Linked DNA regions of Elephas maximus indicus. The protein of the gene in region 1 purifies or fractionates together with the protein of each later gene. This does not show direct contact. Links are inferred from orthologs where the notes say so. Each region holds a gene or a part of one and is shown on either strand. Other genes may lie near its edges.

Evidence for each region.
Region 2: the proteins of XPO1 (region 1) and ATP-dependent RNA helicase DDX19A fractionate together in Homo sapiens (co-fractionation; 3 studies listed by BioGRID, with this or other methods). This does not show direct contact. The link is inferred for Elephas maximus indicus from reciprocal best matches to the Homo sapiens genes XPO1 and DDX19A.

Annotation. Positions count from the first base shown.
Region 1 is NC_064844.1:728,811-736,281, forward strand, and holds the start of XPO1 (exportin-1), read left to right. Parts: upstream 1-4,368; 5' UTR 4,369-5,095; intron 5,096-5,729; exon of another isoform or gene 5,730-5,952; intron 5,953-7,471. UniProt on the Homo sapiens protein: Mediates the nuclear export of cellular proteins (cargos) bearing a leucine-rich nuclear export signal (NES) and of RNAs.
Region 2 is NC_064839.1:40,154,187-40,161,283, reverse strand, and holds the start of ATP-dependent RNA helicase DDX19A, read left to right. Parts: upstream 1-4,030; 5' UTR 4,031-4,115; coding exon 4,116-4,172; intron 4,173-6,513; coding exon 6,514-6,562; intron 6,563-7,097. UniProt on the Homo sapiens protein: ATP-dependent RNA helicase involved in mRNA export from the nucleus.

The DNA.
Region 1 (7,471 bases):
CAGTACTTCCCTTTAAGCCTCACTAAGTACAAACACGTCCCCTAGCTTATTGGAAGAAAAAGCCTGAGGAATTGTGAGTTTGAGATCAAGTCATGAATATGCACAGTGAATTAGACGATGCATGGTGTTTGCTCAGTCCAAGTGCTTGTTCTATGGTTTGTGGAAAGAAATGCGTGTTAGAAGGCCACTGCTGTATCTCTGAGAGCAAAGTGGTATTAATTTTCTTAAAAACAACGAAAAGACCAATTCTGTCATTAGAATAACAGATTTAATGTACATATTTATCTTATTTTTTTCCTACATTATATGGGCATTTAATGTTATCATTTGTGGATTCTTTGAGGTGCTCACAGTCAGTAGAGATTGTCTTCAGAACCAAAAGGTCAAATTAAAATGCAAAGATTGCTCATTTGCATCATCAGACTCTATGATGTGACCTTAAAGAGTGTTCTTGTAGGTATGTGTCATAATTTAATCATCTATCATATGGGAGGAAACCCTGGTGGCGCAGTGGTTAGGTGCTATGGCTGCTAACTAAAAGGTCAGCAGTTTGGATCCACCAGGCGGTCCTTGGAAACTCTACAGGGCAGTTCCACTCTGTCCTAAAGGGTCGCTATGAGTCAAAATTGACTCAATGGCAATGAGTTTGGTTTTGAGTTTGTATCATATGGGAATAACAAATACTGATGGCTTTTATAGGAAATAAACATATTGTTCACATATTGACTTAGGTATGTAATTTGCTACAATCTTTTCAGGGGACACCCTGACAGTACCTATCACAATAACAGATACACATACCCTTCAACACAGTAATTCCACTTTTGGGCTTTAACCTAGAGATAAAGTCACATTTAGGCCAAAAGATAAATGTGCAAGGACATTCACTGGAGCATTATCTGCAAGAGGGAAAACCAGGAACAGCCTACTGTCCTCAGTAGGGATACGGCTGAATCATTTATGGTACTGAAATCACGGGGAAGACTAAGGAGCTGTTAACAAGGATGTGGTGGATTTATACATTCTCACCTGTTAAGTAAGAATCAAGCTGCTGAACGATACGTGTGGTATGTCATACATGTTGAACAAAACACAAAAGAAATACGTTCGTAAGTGCATAAAAAAAATCTCGAAGTATACACATCATCCGGGAGATGATGGTTATCTCTAGGCAGAAAGGGGGGGGTTAGTATGTGAAGGAAGACTCCCACTTTTTACTGTAGATATTTCTGTATTGTTTGAATTGTTAAACATGACCAGGTATTTTTTTTTTTTTTAATTTTTAAAATAGTAATGAATAACAAGTGGTGAAAAAGGAATTTGTGGACTTCTCTTATTTCTGATGAATGTTATTTTGTGAAACAATGTTAACTAGTAGAAAGACCAAAAACATGGGTTCTAATATTGACTCAATCACTGTGGGTGGTATGTTTATGGGAATAAAGAGAGAGGAGAGAAACTAAGAGCTACATATACAGTAACCATCTCATATCTCATCAGGCTGTGGTGAGAATTCAGTGAAATATTGTACCAAAAAGTCTTACAGCTTGGTGGACTCCAAGCAGACATTAGAGTTTACTTACATTTTCTTATCCATATTCCACTCCAGGGTTTGAAATCCGTTCAATTCTAGCAAATAAAGGTAATAAGACAGTATTAGACAAATAATATCATACCTCGTGTTCTGATTTTGATCCTGAAAATACCGTGATGAAAGGTAATCATCTGTCCGTCACTCCTTTTTGCAGTTGTTAATGAGATAAATTTATAATGAATACTCCATCTTCTGCAGAGAACTCTCTGGCTAACTCTAAGCAAAATAGACAGGCCAAATATTTATACCTCATTCACTACAATCAGACAGATATGATCCTTTCAGGGGTGTGATTTAAAGATGGGATAAAAAGAGCCAAAGGAGGGGACAGCAGACTATTTTAACTTTACAAAATGCTTTATGGTTTACACTGCTCCTTCAGAAATATTATCCCATTAGATTCTTAACCCCAGTCTTCTGAGGTGGGCCTGGGCCACATCAGCCTCATTAAAAGCGTAAGAAGAAAACTGAGGCCCAAAGAGGTGAAGTTATTTATCCAAGCTCACATTCTGAGCAAAGCCAGGTCTCACTCCTCACTATTTTTATTCCTACTACATGGCTATCCAGAAAGTCAGTACCAGTGGCCTGGGGGGAAAAAATCTTAAAAAAAAAAAAAAAGAGGAGAGCCCTCATTTTCCTGTTAATACAACCTAAGTATCACAAGTGATTAGTGTATAACATCTTGTATGTCATTGCTGTTGTTAGGTGCTGTCACTTCCCACCCATACCAACCCTGTGTACAACAGAAAGAAACACTGCCCGGTCTTGCACCATCCTCACCACGGTTTGCTATGTTTGAGTCAACTGTTGCAGCCACTGTGTCAATCGTCTCGTTAAGGGTCTTCCTTTTTGCTGACCCTCTACTTTACCAAGTATGATGTCCTTCTCCAGAGACTGGTTCCTGCCGGTAACATGTCCAAAGCACTAAGATGAAGTTTTGCCATCTTTGATTCCAAGGAGCACTCTGGCTGTGCTTTTTCCAAGACAGATTTGTTCATTCTTCTGGCACCCCATGGTATATCCAATATTCTCTGCCAACACCATAATTCAAAGACATCAGTTCTTCTTCAGTCTTCCTTATTCATTGTCCAGCTCTCACATGCATATGAGGCACCTGAAAACGCTATGGCTTGGGTCAGGCACACCTTAGTCCTCAAAGTAATACCTTTGCTTTTTAACACTTTAAAGAGGTCGTCTGCCACAGACTTGCACAATATACATCATTTGATTTCTTGACTGCTCCTTCCATGGAAGTTGATTGTGGATCCAAGTAAAATGAAATCCTTTGCAACTTCAGTCTTTTCTCCGTTCAGCATGATGTTGATTATTGGTCCAGTTGTGAGGGTTTTCGTTTTACGTTGAGGTGTAATCCATACTGAAAGCTGTAGTCTTAGACCATATAAATGATATAAAAAAAATTTTTTTTATCATGTATTATACATATTTAATACTATCGTTAAGCAACGAACAAAAATCCTAGGTCTGAAAGTCACCCACTGTCATTTTCGTAAATCTAAGTCTTGGGTTGTTACCGGGCTTCTTTACTGGCTGGGGAGAGTTATTCTTCAGCGGTGCTTCGGTGTCAGCTATCGTCCATCCTGAGAGCTGCTGAAGAAAACTGCGTTGATTTAATAAGCCATTTATCAACCTCTTGTTGGCAGAATGGGCCTAGTAAGTTTTGGTGGGCTGCTGTTTCTTAAGCATAGCAATCGGTAAAGCTGATTTGGAGGGCACTTGGGGACAAACGACAGGCAACCATGTAAATTGTTACAGGCAACCATGTAAAAGAACATATACCTGTGACTTTCACAGAAAATACTATTTGATGATGACGTACGTAAAGGGCAGCTAAGCTGAAAAGAAAACCGAGAGTGGGGGCAGCCCAAGGGCACCAGGTGGGAGGCGGTTGGCGTGCAAGCTTACCCAGCAAAAATACTCGTGGTTAAAGCAATTACAAGGGTTACAGGGTTTAGTTCTTAGGATCACCCAAATGGCAGCCCAGGGAGGCACAAGTAAGATTTTAAAGAGATTCCTGCGCAGGAGCCGCTCGGCCATCTCCTCCCGGGCTCTGATCACGAGGCGCAGGGAGAGCACGCCCCAGCCTCTCCCAGCTACTCTCACCCCCAGACTCAGGCCTCTAAGGCGAACTGGAGGGGCTCGGGGCCACGACAGGTCTTCCCGCTACCACCCCGTCCTCGACTAGGAAACCGCCGGGGGTGCCCTCCCTTTTCGGGGCGCAGCCCCCACCCGAGGCCCCCGCAGCTTGGCGGGAGCAGCCGGGGGCGGGCCAGCGCGCCGGGAAAGCAGAGCGAAGCCGCCGCGCGCCGCGCTCAAACTCGCGCCGCCACCAGCTCCGGAGCGGCGCCCCACCCTCTCCGTCACCAAAGGCGCCCAGCCAATGAGCGAGCCGGAAAGGCTGAGCCTGCGGGCTACGCACGGGGAGGGGGAGCGGCGGGAGGGGGAAGGGAAGTGGGGGCGGGCTGCGCTTGATTGACAGCTCGCTGGAGCCAATCCTCCACGCGGCTTGTCTTGGTTCTCTACTCGGCTCAGCTCTTCGCCCCACCTCCCTCTCCTGCGGCCCCCCCCGCTCCCTTTCGACCCCCCCACTTCCCCTCCCCCACTCTGCGGGCAAATCGCGCTGGAAAGAGGCGGGGGCCGAAGCGGCGGGCTCGTGTGGAGGCTTGAGGCGGGACTGACGGCTGCACCGGCCAATCGGAGCTAGGCTGATGGCGCGGCTGTGGCGGGAGCCGGCCAATGGGCGGGCGGGCTGGGGGCGGAGGCCCAGGTTCCAAACGCTCCGCGGCGCCATGGGCTGAAAACTCAACCGAGATGGAATCTCCCAGTCTGAACCGGTTGAAACCGGTTCCGAGTTTGAGGCACTAGGAGGAGGGGGAGAAGCGGCTGCAGCGGCCGCGGCAGGAGCAGCGGGAGCTACAGCATCAGCAAGAGCCACAGTAGCGACAGCGCGGCGGCCGTGCCTGCTCCGTCCTCGCTGCCGCAGTCCGTGCCGCCGCCCGGAGGGGAGGGGGGCCCCGGTCGCTGAGGAGAAGGGGGGAAAGTTTAGGCGAGCCTCGGCGGGGGCCCGCGCCGGAGCCGCGTGAGGGAGCCGCGCTTCGGCAGGGGGAGTCGGACTGCACCTGGCAGCGGAGCGTCCCCCGCCGTGTGGACTCTGCGCCCTCCTGCCGCCGCCCGGGCTGCGGGGTCCCCGGGGCTGAATCTGTGGGACTCGACCGCTCCCCTCCCCCTCCCGACTCCCCGCGGGCGGGAGCGCCGACTCCACAGACTAATTCCCTTCTTTTTGGGGGGCGGGTGGGTGTGTGTGGGGGGAGGTGTCCCGGAATTGTAAATATTATTGAGCCTTTTTTTCGCCCTTTTCCCCGTTTTTTCGGTTTCCCTTTTTAAGGTGGGAACACTGTGAATCCCACCTCGGCCCCTCTCCCCTCCCGCCTCCCCTGCCCTCGCCCCGACAAGGAAGGAAGCAGCAGTTGGTTCGCTCCCTGGGTAAGTCGGCCGGCGGGGCGGCGGGCGGGCGGCGGCGGGCGGCGGGCCGGGGCCGAGCGGAGCCGCGATGAATGGAGGCGGCGGGGCGGCCGCGTGTGCGGCGGCGGGGAGCCCGGGAGGGGAGCCCGGGAGGGCACGGCCGCCCCGGCCCCGCGGGCTGCGCGAAGTTGGGGGACTGCGGGAGGACCTCCGTAGGCTCTGAGGCGTGGAAGTTTCCAGAAACATGTAGTGCAGCAGCCCTGAAGCGTCCGCCCGCGTCACGTGGCCCTCGGCGGAGGCTCGGGATCGGGAGGGACGGAGGGAGGGGCTGCGAGTCCCGCTTCTCCTGGCGGAAACTCGGCGGCTTTGTGGCTCTGCGGAGCGGCCGAGGGCGGCTTCGGGGCCGGGCCGCGGCGTCCCTCGTGGGGCGCGGCGTCCCTCGTGGGGCCGCAGCCTCGCGCGCCCGCTTCAGGGCCGGCGGGGTACCATGGGGGATGCCCTGCTTCTGCTCCCTTCCAGCAGCCGAGTGTGGGGTGGCGGGAGGGGGGAAGTGGTGTGGGGAGGAGGCCTCAGGCTGGGCCCGGCCCTGCTGCCCTCCCGCCGAGGCCGTGCTGCGGAGGGCCCGGGGGGCCTGAGGCGGGAGGCTGGGGGCCCGGGGGTCCGCAGACCTCAGCGCCGGGCGGGCCCTTTGGGCACCTCGCTCTTCGGCCCCGTGTGGGCTTGTCACTGCCGCCGTGACGGTGTTCGGGGTCTGGGGCGGGAGCTGGCGGCGAGCTGCCCCTGTGGAGCCTGAGGTGGCGGTGGAGGCATTTTGGCAGTCACTCGTGGAGTCACAGCTATGTCGGCTGATCCCTGCGACGTGCCATCTATGCCATCTAGTGAGTGGATCTTAGGGTCGCGGCGCCCCAGGAGAGGAGAGAGCGTCTGGGGTGTCTGTCCTTAGGCTCTTGCTCTTGGCTGGCTGCGGGATCGTGTATCCTGAGAGCGGGGCGCCGCTCTCAGTGGAAGAGTGTTTGGGGAGCCGGTGGACTTGGGGGACGGAGTGCCTGGCATTTCTGTCCTCCGACGGCTCGGGAGTAGGCAGGTCGCTGGGAGGACCCCGCCGGCTGAGGGCGGCAGCTGCCCGCTGTGAACACGGGTCTTCTCAACCTGCTTGTCCGCCCGGGGGCGCGGGGGACTCCTCGGGGACGGGAACCTTGGGAGGAGTCGCTTCATTCCTGTAAAAATACCACAGGTAGAGCTGCATAGAAAAGTAAAAGTTTGGTTTTCAGCCCCCCCCCCCCAAATTAGAAAATTTATCATGTGTAGAGTTTGGTACTTTCTGGGCAGTGCTTTCAGGTCTCGATTTTTAAGATATTTCTGACCTAAAGTGGGGGAAAATTTACGCATTTCTTTGTGTAGTGTTCTGTTTTTTTATGTTACGTGTTGAGTTTTAAGACTTTTTTTGGGTATGACAGGTATTTTGCTGTTTCAGAATTGTGTGTGATACCTGTTATAAAAAAATATGATGTCCCGTCAGTTTTAGTTGTCAATAATGGGCCAGAAGACTTCAGAAGAATAAAAATGTCTTGGAACTCTTAATATCTCGATGTTTACATTATGTCTGACTTAAATGACTTCATATTTTAGACTAATAGTTGTTGTAATTGAAATTGCTGTTATTGTTGTTAAACGTTTTTTGAACTACTGTGAAAGAGCCTTAGAAATCACACCTTTCCCCCTGTCAAACTAGTTTGTCTAAATATAATGCCATCAAATTATCCACTGTCTCCTGATAATGGAAGGTTCCTAAGAGGGGAAGAAGTGGAAGTGGCCATCCGCCCTGGTTGGTTGTAAATACCGTAAACCAGGGGTTCTTAACCTGGAGTTTTATGGATGATTTCGAAGTGTTCTGAATCCTCTAATTTTATACAAAATTGTGAGGTTTTTTTTTTTTTTTAATTGGGCAAGAACTATAGTGTTCTCTGATTCTAAGGCATCTTGACCCAAAAAAGGCTATGGAGTTGAAGGGCATTAAGTTTGAAGAAAGCAAGCTAAGATGTTCTATAACACTGAGCAACCAAAATGTGCCTGAGTTCCAGCATGGTGGAGTAGAATTCTCTTAAAAGGGTAATGTTGCGAATAAACCAGTAGGTTTTAGCCAGTGCGTTTATTAGAGGCCAAGTAATGATGTCTTTGTTACGGTATGGTTTGTTTTCATTTGGAAAATACATAGTTGGTGAACTGAATACCTGGACGTTTTCTCAAATCTCACTTGGCCACAAAGTTTTCTTTTTCCTAAACCATGTATTCAAGGATTTTATATACTTGTAGTATAATTTTAACCTTTAAATTTGTGTAGTCTTTAACACTGGAGAAGTTGAATGGGCCCTAATAGCAATTCTGCAATTGTGTAGT
Region 2 (7,097 bases), on another chromosome or scaffold:
CAAAAAGTAAACTGGAAGGAGGCAAGTAAGATGATTTTTGATGGTATCCAGATGTTCACCGAACTGTCACCAATTAATAGGGAAGGGGTGGGGGCCTTAGGTAATTTATATGCTCTTGATGCACTATTATACCACAATTAAATGAGTAAATTATGACATAAAAAATACATATTCATATAATAAAAAGATGAAAATTGAAATTGTATGTATACTTTGTTTAGGATTATGTACAATACCCGTGCTATTGATGCATATGAACAAAGAATAGAAGGACCCAGAAGAAAAGGAAACACTAGTGTGGGTGTGAGTGTGGGTGTGTGTTCACTGGAGTGGTGAAATTGTTAGGTGCTATTGAGTCATTCTGGACTCACAGCAACCCCATGGTAGAATAACTGGGGGTTTAAGGGTTTTGTCTCTTTCCACTGATGTAGTTGATTTGATTCCTGTGTATTCCATCCAGTGAGGTTCACATGTATAGTCACCATTTATGTCGTTGAAAAAAGGTAATTACAATGAAGAAACTGATGGTCTTGCAAAATTCTGTCATGCGATCTCTGGTAGCGTTTCTATCATCAAGGCCATATTTTCCAGCTACTGATCTTCATTTCCAACTTTGCTTTCCAATCACCAGTAATTATCAAAGCATTTTGATTGCACGTTTGGTCAATTTCAGACTGCAGAAGTTGGTAAAAATCTTCAATTTCTTCATCTTTGGCATTAGTGGTTGGTGTGTAAATTTGAATAATAGCCACAATTAGTAACTGGTCTTACTTGTAGGCGTGTGGATATTACTCCTATCACTGACAGCATTGAACTTCAGGATAGATATTGAAACGTTCTTTTTGACGAGGATTGTGATGCCATTCCTCTAAAATTTGTCATTCCTGGCATAGCAGACCATATGACTGATTCAAAATGGCCAATACCAGTCCATTTCAGCTCACTAATGCCTAGGATATTGATCTTTATGCATTCCATTTCATTTTTGACAACTTCTAATTTTCTTAGATTCGTATGTCATACATTCCACATTCTGACTATTGATGGATGTTTGCAGCTGTTTCTTCTCATTTTGAGTCATGCCACCTCAGCAAATGAAGGTCCCAAAAACTTTACTCCATCCACGTCATCAAGGTCAACTCTAAGGAGGCTGCTCTCCCCCAGTCGTCTTCTGAGTGACTTCTAAGCTGAGAAGATCATATTCTGGCACTATATCACACAATATTCTGCTGCTATACATAAGGTTTTCACTGGCCAATTTTTTCAGAACTGTCAAGTCTTTCTTTCTAGTCTGTCTTAGTCTAGAGGCTGCACTGAAACCTGTCCACCACTGGTGACTCTGCTGGTATTTGAAATACTGGTGGCATAGCTTCCAGCATCACAGCACAACAAACTAAGCCACCACAGTACAACAAACTGACAGAACAAGGCCAGGGGCTGACTTCAGAACAGACCATCAATTGCTCATATGCAAGTTCAAGTTAAACTCAAGAAAATTAAAACAAGTCCACCAGAATCAAAATAGGGCCTTGAGTATATCCCCCCTGAATTTAGAGACTATCTCAAGAATAGATTTGTTGCACACAACACTAATGACGGAAGACCAGACGAGTTGTGGAATAACATCAAGAACATCATACATGAAGAATGCAAGAGGTCGTTAAAAAGACAGGAAAGAAAGAAAACAGAATGGATATCAGAAGAGACTCTGAAACTTGCTCTTGAACCTCAAGTAGCTAAAGCGAACAAAAGAAATGATGAAGAGCTGAACAGGAGATTTGAAAAGGCAGCTTGAGAAGACAAAGTATTATAATGAAATGTGCAAAAACCTAAAGTTAGAAAACCAAAAGGAAACAACATGCTCGGCATTTCTCAAGGAGAACTGAAGAAAAAATTCCAGCCTCGACTTACAGTATTACAGAATTGTATGGACAAAATACTGAATGATGCAGGAAGCATCAAAAGAAGACAGAAGGAATACAGACTCACTGTACCAAAAAGAACTGGTGGATGTTCAACCATTCAGGAGGTAGCATATGACCAAGAACTCATGGTATGGAAGGAAGAAGTCCAAGCTGCACTCAAGGCACTGGCAAAAAAGAAGGCTCCAGGAATTGATGGAATACCAAATGAGATGTTTCAACAAACTGATGCAGTGCTGGGAGTGCTCACTCATCTATGCCAAGAAATTTGGAAGGCAGCTACCTGGCCAGCCAACTGGAAGAGATCCATATTTGTGTCCTTTCCAAAGAAAGGCAATCCAATAGATGGCAGAAATTATCAAACAATATCATACACAAGTAAAATTTTGCTGAAGATAATTCAAAAGCAGTTGCAGTATGTTGACAGAGAACTGCCAGAAATTCCAGCCAGATTCAGAAGGGGATGTGGAACCATGGGTATTATTGTTGATATCAGATGGATCTTGGCTGAAAGCAGAGAATACCAGAAAAACCTTTACCTGTGTTTTATTGACTATGCAAAGGCATTTGACTGTGTGGATCATAACAAATTCTGGATAACATTATGAAGAATGCGAATTCCAGAACACTTAATTGTGCTCATGATGAATCTGTACATAAACCAAGAGGCAGTAGTTCGACAAGAACAAGAGGATACTGCGTGGTTTAAAATCAAGAAAAGTGTGTGTTAGGGTTGTATCCTTTCATCACACTTATTCAATCTGTATCCTAAGCAACTAATCCAAGAAGCTGGACTATATGAAGAAGAACACAGCATATGGTTTGGGGTAAGACTCATTAACAACCTTCCATATGCAGATGATACAATCTTGCTTGCTGCAGGTGAAGAGGACTTGAAGCACTTACTGATGAAAATCAAAGACTACAGTCTTCAGTATGGATTACACCTCAACATAAAACAAAAATCCTCACAACTGGACCAATAAGCAACAGAGAAAAGACTGTGGTTGTCAAGTTTTCCTTTTACTTGGATCCACAATCAACACCCATGGAAGCAGCAGTCAAGAAATCAAAGGAGACATTGCACTGGGCAAATCTGTGAAAGACTTTTAAAGTGTTGAAAAGCAAAGATGTCACTTTGGGGACTAACGTTCATCTGACTCAAGCCATGGTATTTTCAGTCACCTTATATGCATGCGAAAGCCAGACAATGAATAAGGTAGACCGAAGAAGAACTGACGCCTTTGAATTATGGTGTTGGTGAAGAATACTGAAAATACTACGGACTGCCAGAAGAAGGAACGCATCTGTCTTGGAGAAGGTACAGCCAGAATACTCCCTAGAAACGAGGATGGGAAGACTTCGTCTCACGTATTTTCGACATGCCCTGGAGAAGGACATCATACTTGGTAGAGGATCAGCGAAAGAGAGGAAGACCTTCAACAAGAGGGACTGAAACAGTGGCTGCATGATGGGCTCTAGCATAGCGTAGCAAAGTGTTTTATTACATGGGGTCGCTGACTCCACAAGAGGGTTTTGTTTTCTTAGACATTACCGTTCTTGACAACAGGAACTGGCATCATACAGTATTCTTCACGGGCCTTTTCTTTGTACGGAGCCACTCAACGGCAACTGGTTTGGGTTTTTTGCTGCGACACTCAGGCTGCTAACCAAAAGGTCGGGGCTCCAATCCATCAGCAGCTACTAGGAAACCATATTGGGGCAGTTCTATTCTGTCCTATAGGGTCGCTATAAGTCGGAACGGACTTGAAGGCAACGGTTTTTCTTTATACAGGCTTTCTGGTTCACAGAAGCGCACGTACATATTTAATATGACACGCGGTAAGTTACAAATAAAACGAGTTATTTCAGTGTGAAGTAAGGTAGTGAAGTGAGGGCAAAACAGTTTTACTTTGAAGAACTTACGGATTTAAGGCACTACGAGGCAGGAGCAGGGAACTACAAATACAACGCGGGAGGTTTAACCACGCCGGAATAGGGCTGAAACACAGGGCCGGCGCGACGTGGCGCCGAATGGTGACGTTTTCGCACCTGACGGATCGGACGTCATTCTCGCGCGCCTCCGCTTCCGGCCCGTGTGAGTGACGTTTTCGTGCCGGCGACAGAGTCTGGCCGGTGTTGTCTCGTGGTCTTCAGTATCTTTCCTCGTGTCCACCTCCTGCCCCCGGCACCATGGCCACCGACTCCTGGGCTCTGGCGGTTGACGAGCAAGAAGCAGCTGTCAAGTCGGTCAGTGGATTCTGCTCAAAGGGGCAAGAACGTAGCAGAGGCCCAGGTGGACCTGGGCTCGAGGCCCAGAGAGAGGGAGTGGTAGAGCAGGCCTTTGGCCAGCACGACCTGCACTGCTGCCGTGGGGAATAACTGCGCCCTAAATTTGCTTCTGGAAACCCTGGTGGCTTAGTGGTTAAGAGCTACTTCTGGTAATAAAAAGGTCGGCAGTTCGAATCCTCCTGGCGCTCCTTGGAAACTCTACGGGGCAGTTCTACTCTGTCTTATAGGGTCACTGAGTCGAGTCAACTCGATGGCAGTGGGTTTGGTTTTAATTTGCCTCTGGGGCTAAAAAGACCAACATTGAGCTTTTGATCATCATCTAATCCAGTTAAAGACTTGTTGTTGTTAGATGCCATCTATTCGTAGCGACCCCATGTGACAGAATAGAACTGCCCCATAGGATTTTCTTGGCTATAATTTTTATGGGAGCAGATAACCCGGTCTTTTCCCCGCGGACCTCCAACCTTCAGGTTAACAGCGCAGCGCAAATATCTCTTCACTGTATATTATTACCATTCCTGTGTTGCACCTGTTTCCCAGTGGCGTTTGTAAACAAAGGCAAATGTAGATGGTCATTCTGTTTCATTGAAATAACACATTTACAGGTTTAGATTTAATGTCTCAGTGTACTGTAAAGGTAAGATAAAGTTTAGATTTGTTTAGAGACAATGGACTGTTGGTAGTGACAATATAGACTATTTACTGAAGACTTTTCCTGTAGTCTGAAGCCTTCTGTAGCTTTTTTTTTTTTTAATCTACTCAGTGTATTTTTTCATTGTACTTCAGATGAAGGTTTACAAAGCAAATTAGTTTCTTTAAACAGTTAATACACATTGTTTTGTGACATTGGTTGCCAACTCCACTACATGTCAACACTCTCCCCTTCTCAACCTTGGGTTTCCCATTACTAGCTTTCCTGTTCCCTCTTGCTTTCTTGTCCTTGCCCCTGGGCTGGTATGCCCATCTAGTCTGATTTTGTTTTATTAGCTGTCTGATCTTTGGCTGAATTCTATAACTTTTTAATGCCTAAATTACGTTTCTTCTCCAGCTATGCTTTGTTGATTTGGGAGTACTATCAGTTCATCAGCAGATAAATAAAATGGGTTAAACCTGGTGGAGTATAGGAAGAAGCTTTATAGTCTTAGCCAGGAAGACTACAATGTGGGAAGTGCTATGAAAGAAGTAAGAACAACATCTTAAATGACCTCTGAAGAGGGAGAGGACATTTATGAGTGGGAAAATGCTGGAAATTTCTTGTGAAGAAACTTATATTTGAGCTGGATTTTAGAGATCGAGTCATATTTAAGATAGAGATGACGGCGAAAGACATTTTAGGAGGAGAAAATGTGCCAAAGTGCTGGACTTGCCTAGAGAACAGGAATCAAATAATTTTGGCTGCAACTTAAGGTGATTGGTTTGGAGTGGGGCAGTATAGAAAATATCGCAGGGAGTATACTTTAGACCTTGACTAAAAACTGAAGGAGAGGGGGCTTTATTTAGTAGGCTTGTGGTCCAGGGCTTGATTTGAGTATTCCTCAGAACCCGACAACATACCTTTACAATACCATCTGAATATCACACTTTACTCTTCCAATATAGAAAAATAGTTCTCATGACAGTGGAGAGTTGTTTGCAAATTTATGAATTATTGCTCTGCTTGCAACTTAGCAAGTTTGTATTGACTAGGAGTACGTGGCCAGGAGTAAAGGAGAAATCATTTTGTTCAAGCTTCTGTAAGATTTTTAAATCAGGAACTTGGGTTTGTCAATACTTTCATTATAAAAAATAAGTTTCTCCCTAATTTATAATCTAGGAGGTTGATAAGACAAGAAAGAGGGCTGTAATTTATTTGCTGAGTGTTGCCTGAATACAGCATGGGTTTTAGGGGTTAAAAAAAAAAAACCAAACTTATGAGATATTTACATCGTATCATTCTTTACCTAGAAACAAGCTGTGTTTGTGCCTTTGAAAGTTTATATTTGATATATGTTTATTGAAGGTTAGATGTCCTGGGAAGAGCATGAGTTGGGAGAAGAGCAGAGGTTTGAGATTGCTGACATACTTTTTCTTCCTACTATTACATTTAGTTTGCCCTTCCCCCTGTTTTTTAGGCTGTAGAAGAGATTTGAAATGATGTTTACACCCAGTCAATTCTACATCAAGCAAAACAAACCTGGCCCCTGAAGATGGGTGTTGAAGTAGCTCCTGCTAGGCTTTTACTAGAGACCTCCCCTGTGCCCAAAAGTCTTCCTTTAACTGGGTCACTTGCTTAACTCTACTTCCTTTCATTCCCATTCAGCTGAGCAGCTTGCAGATCAAGGAAGAGAAAATCAAACCAGATACCAATGGTGAGTGAGTAGTAACTACAAGCCAGGCACAAGCTACACATGTGCTTCTGTTTTGCACTCATTGCTGCAGTGTGAATAGGAGTTTTCACTTAGCCCAACATTTGGTAAATGATTAGAGAGCACTGGATTAGAGAGCCAGTAAATTAGGCTTAATTACTGAAAGGGATGTGTGATGTTTTCCAGATTTGATCCAGCCTCTCATTCCTTAAATCCAACAATCAGCACTGGAGTATACTGCTACTCTTTACTGGAGATGGTTTCTTTGGAAAATTATTTTTGTTTAATTTTTTGAAAGATAATTTGGGTCCAAAACTCAAAGTATAAAAAGTTGAAAGCCCTTCTTCCCATTGTGGTCCCTCATTTACCGAGGTCCCACTCCCCACCCCATCCCATAAGTAATCACTGTTATTTGTCTTATTAATATTCTTTTGAAGTTTCTTTAAGCAAAAGAAATATAAATATAGATTTATATTCCCATTTTCTTTCTCACAATTAGCAAACTGTTTGCTAATATAATGCTGTATTTTAAATAAGG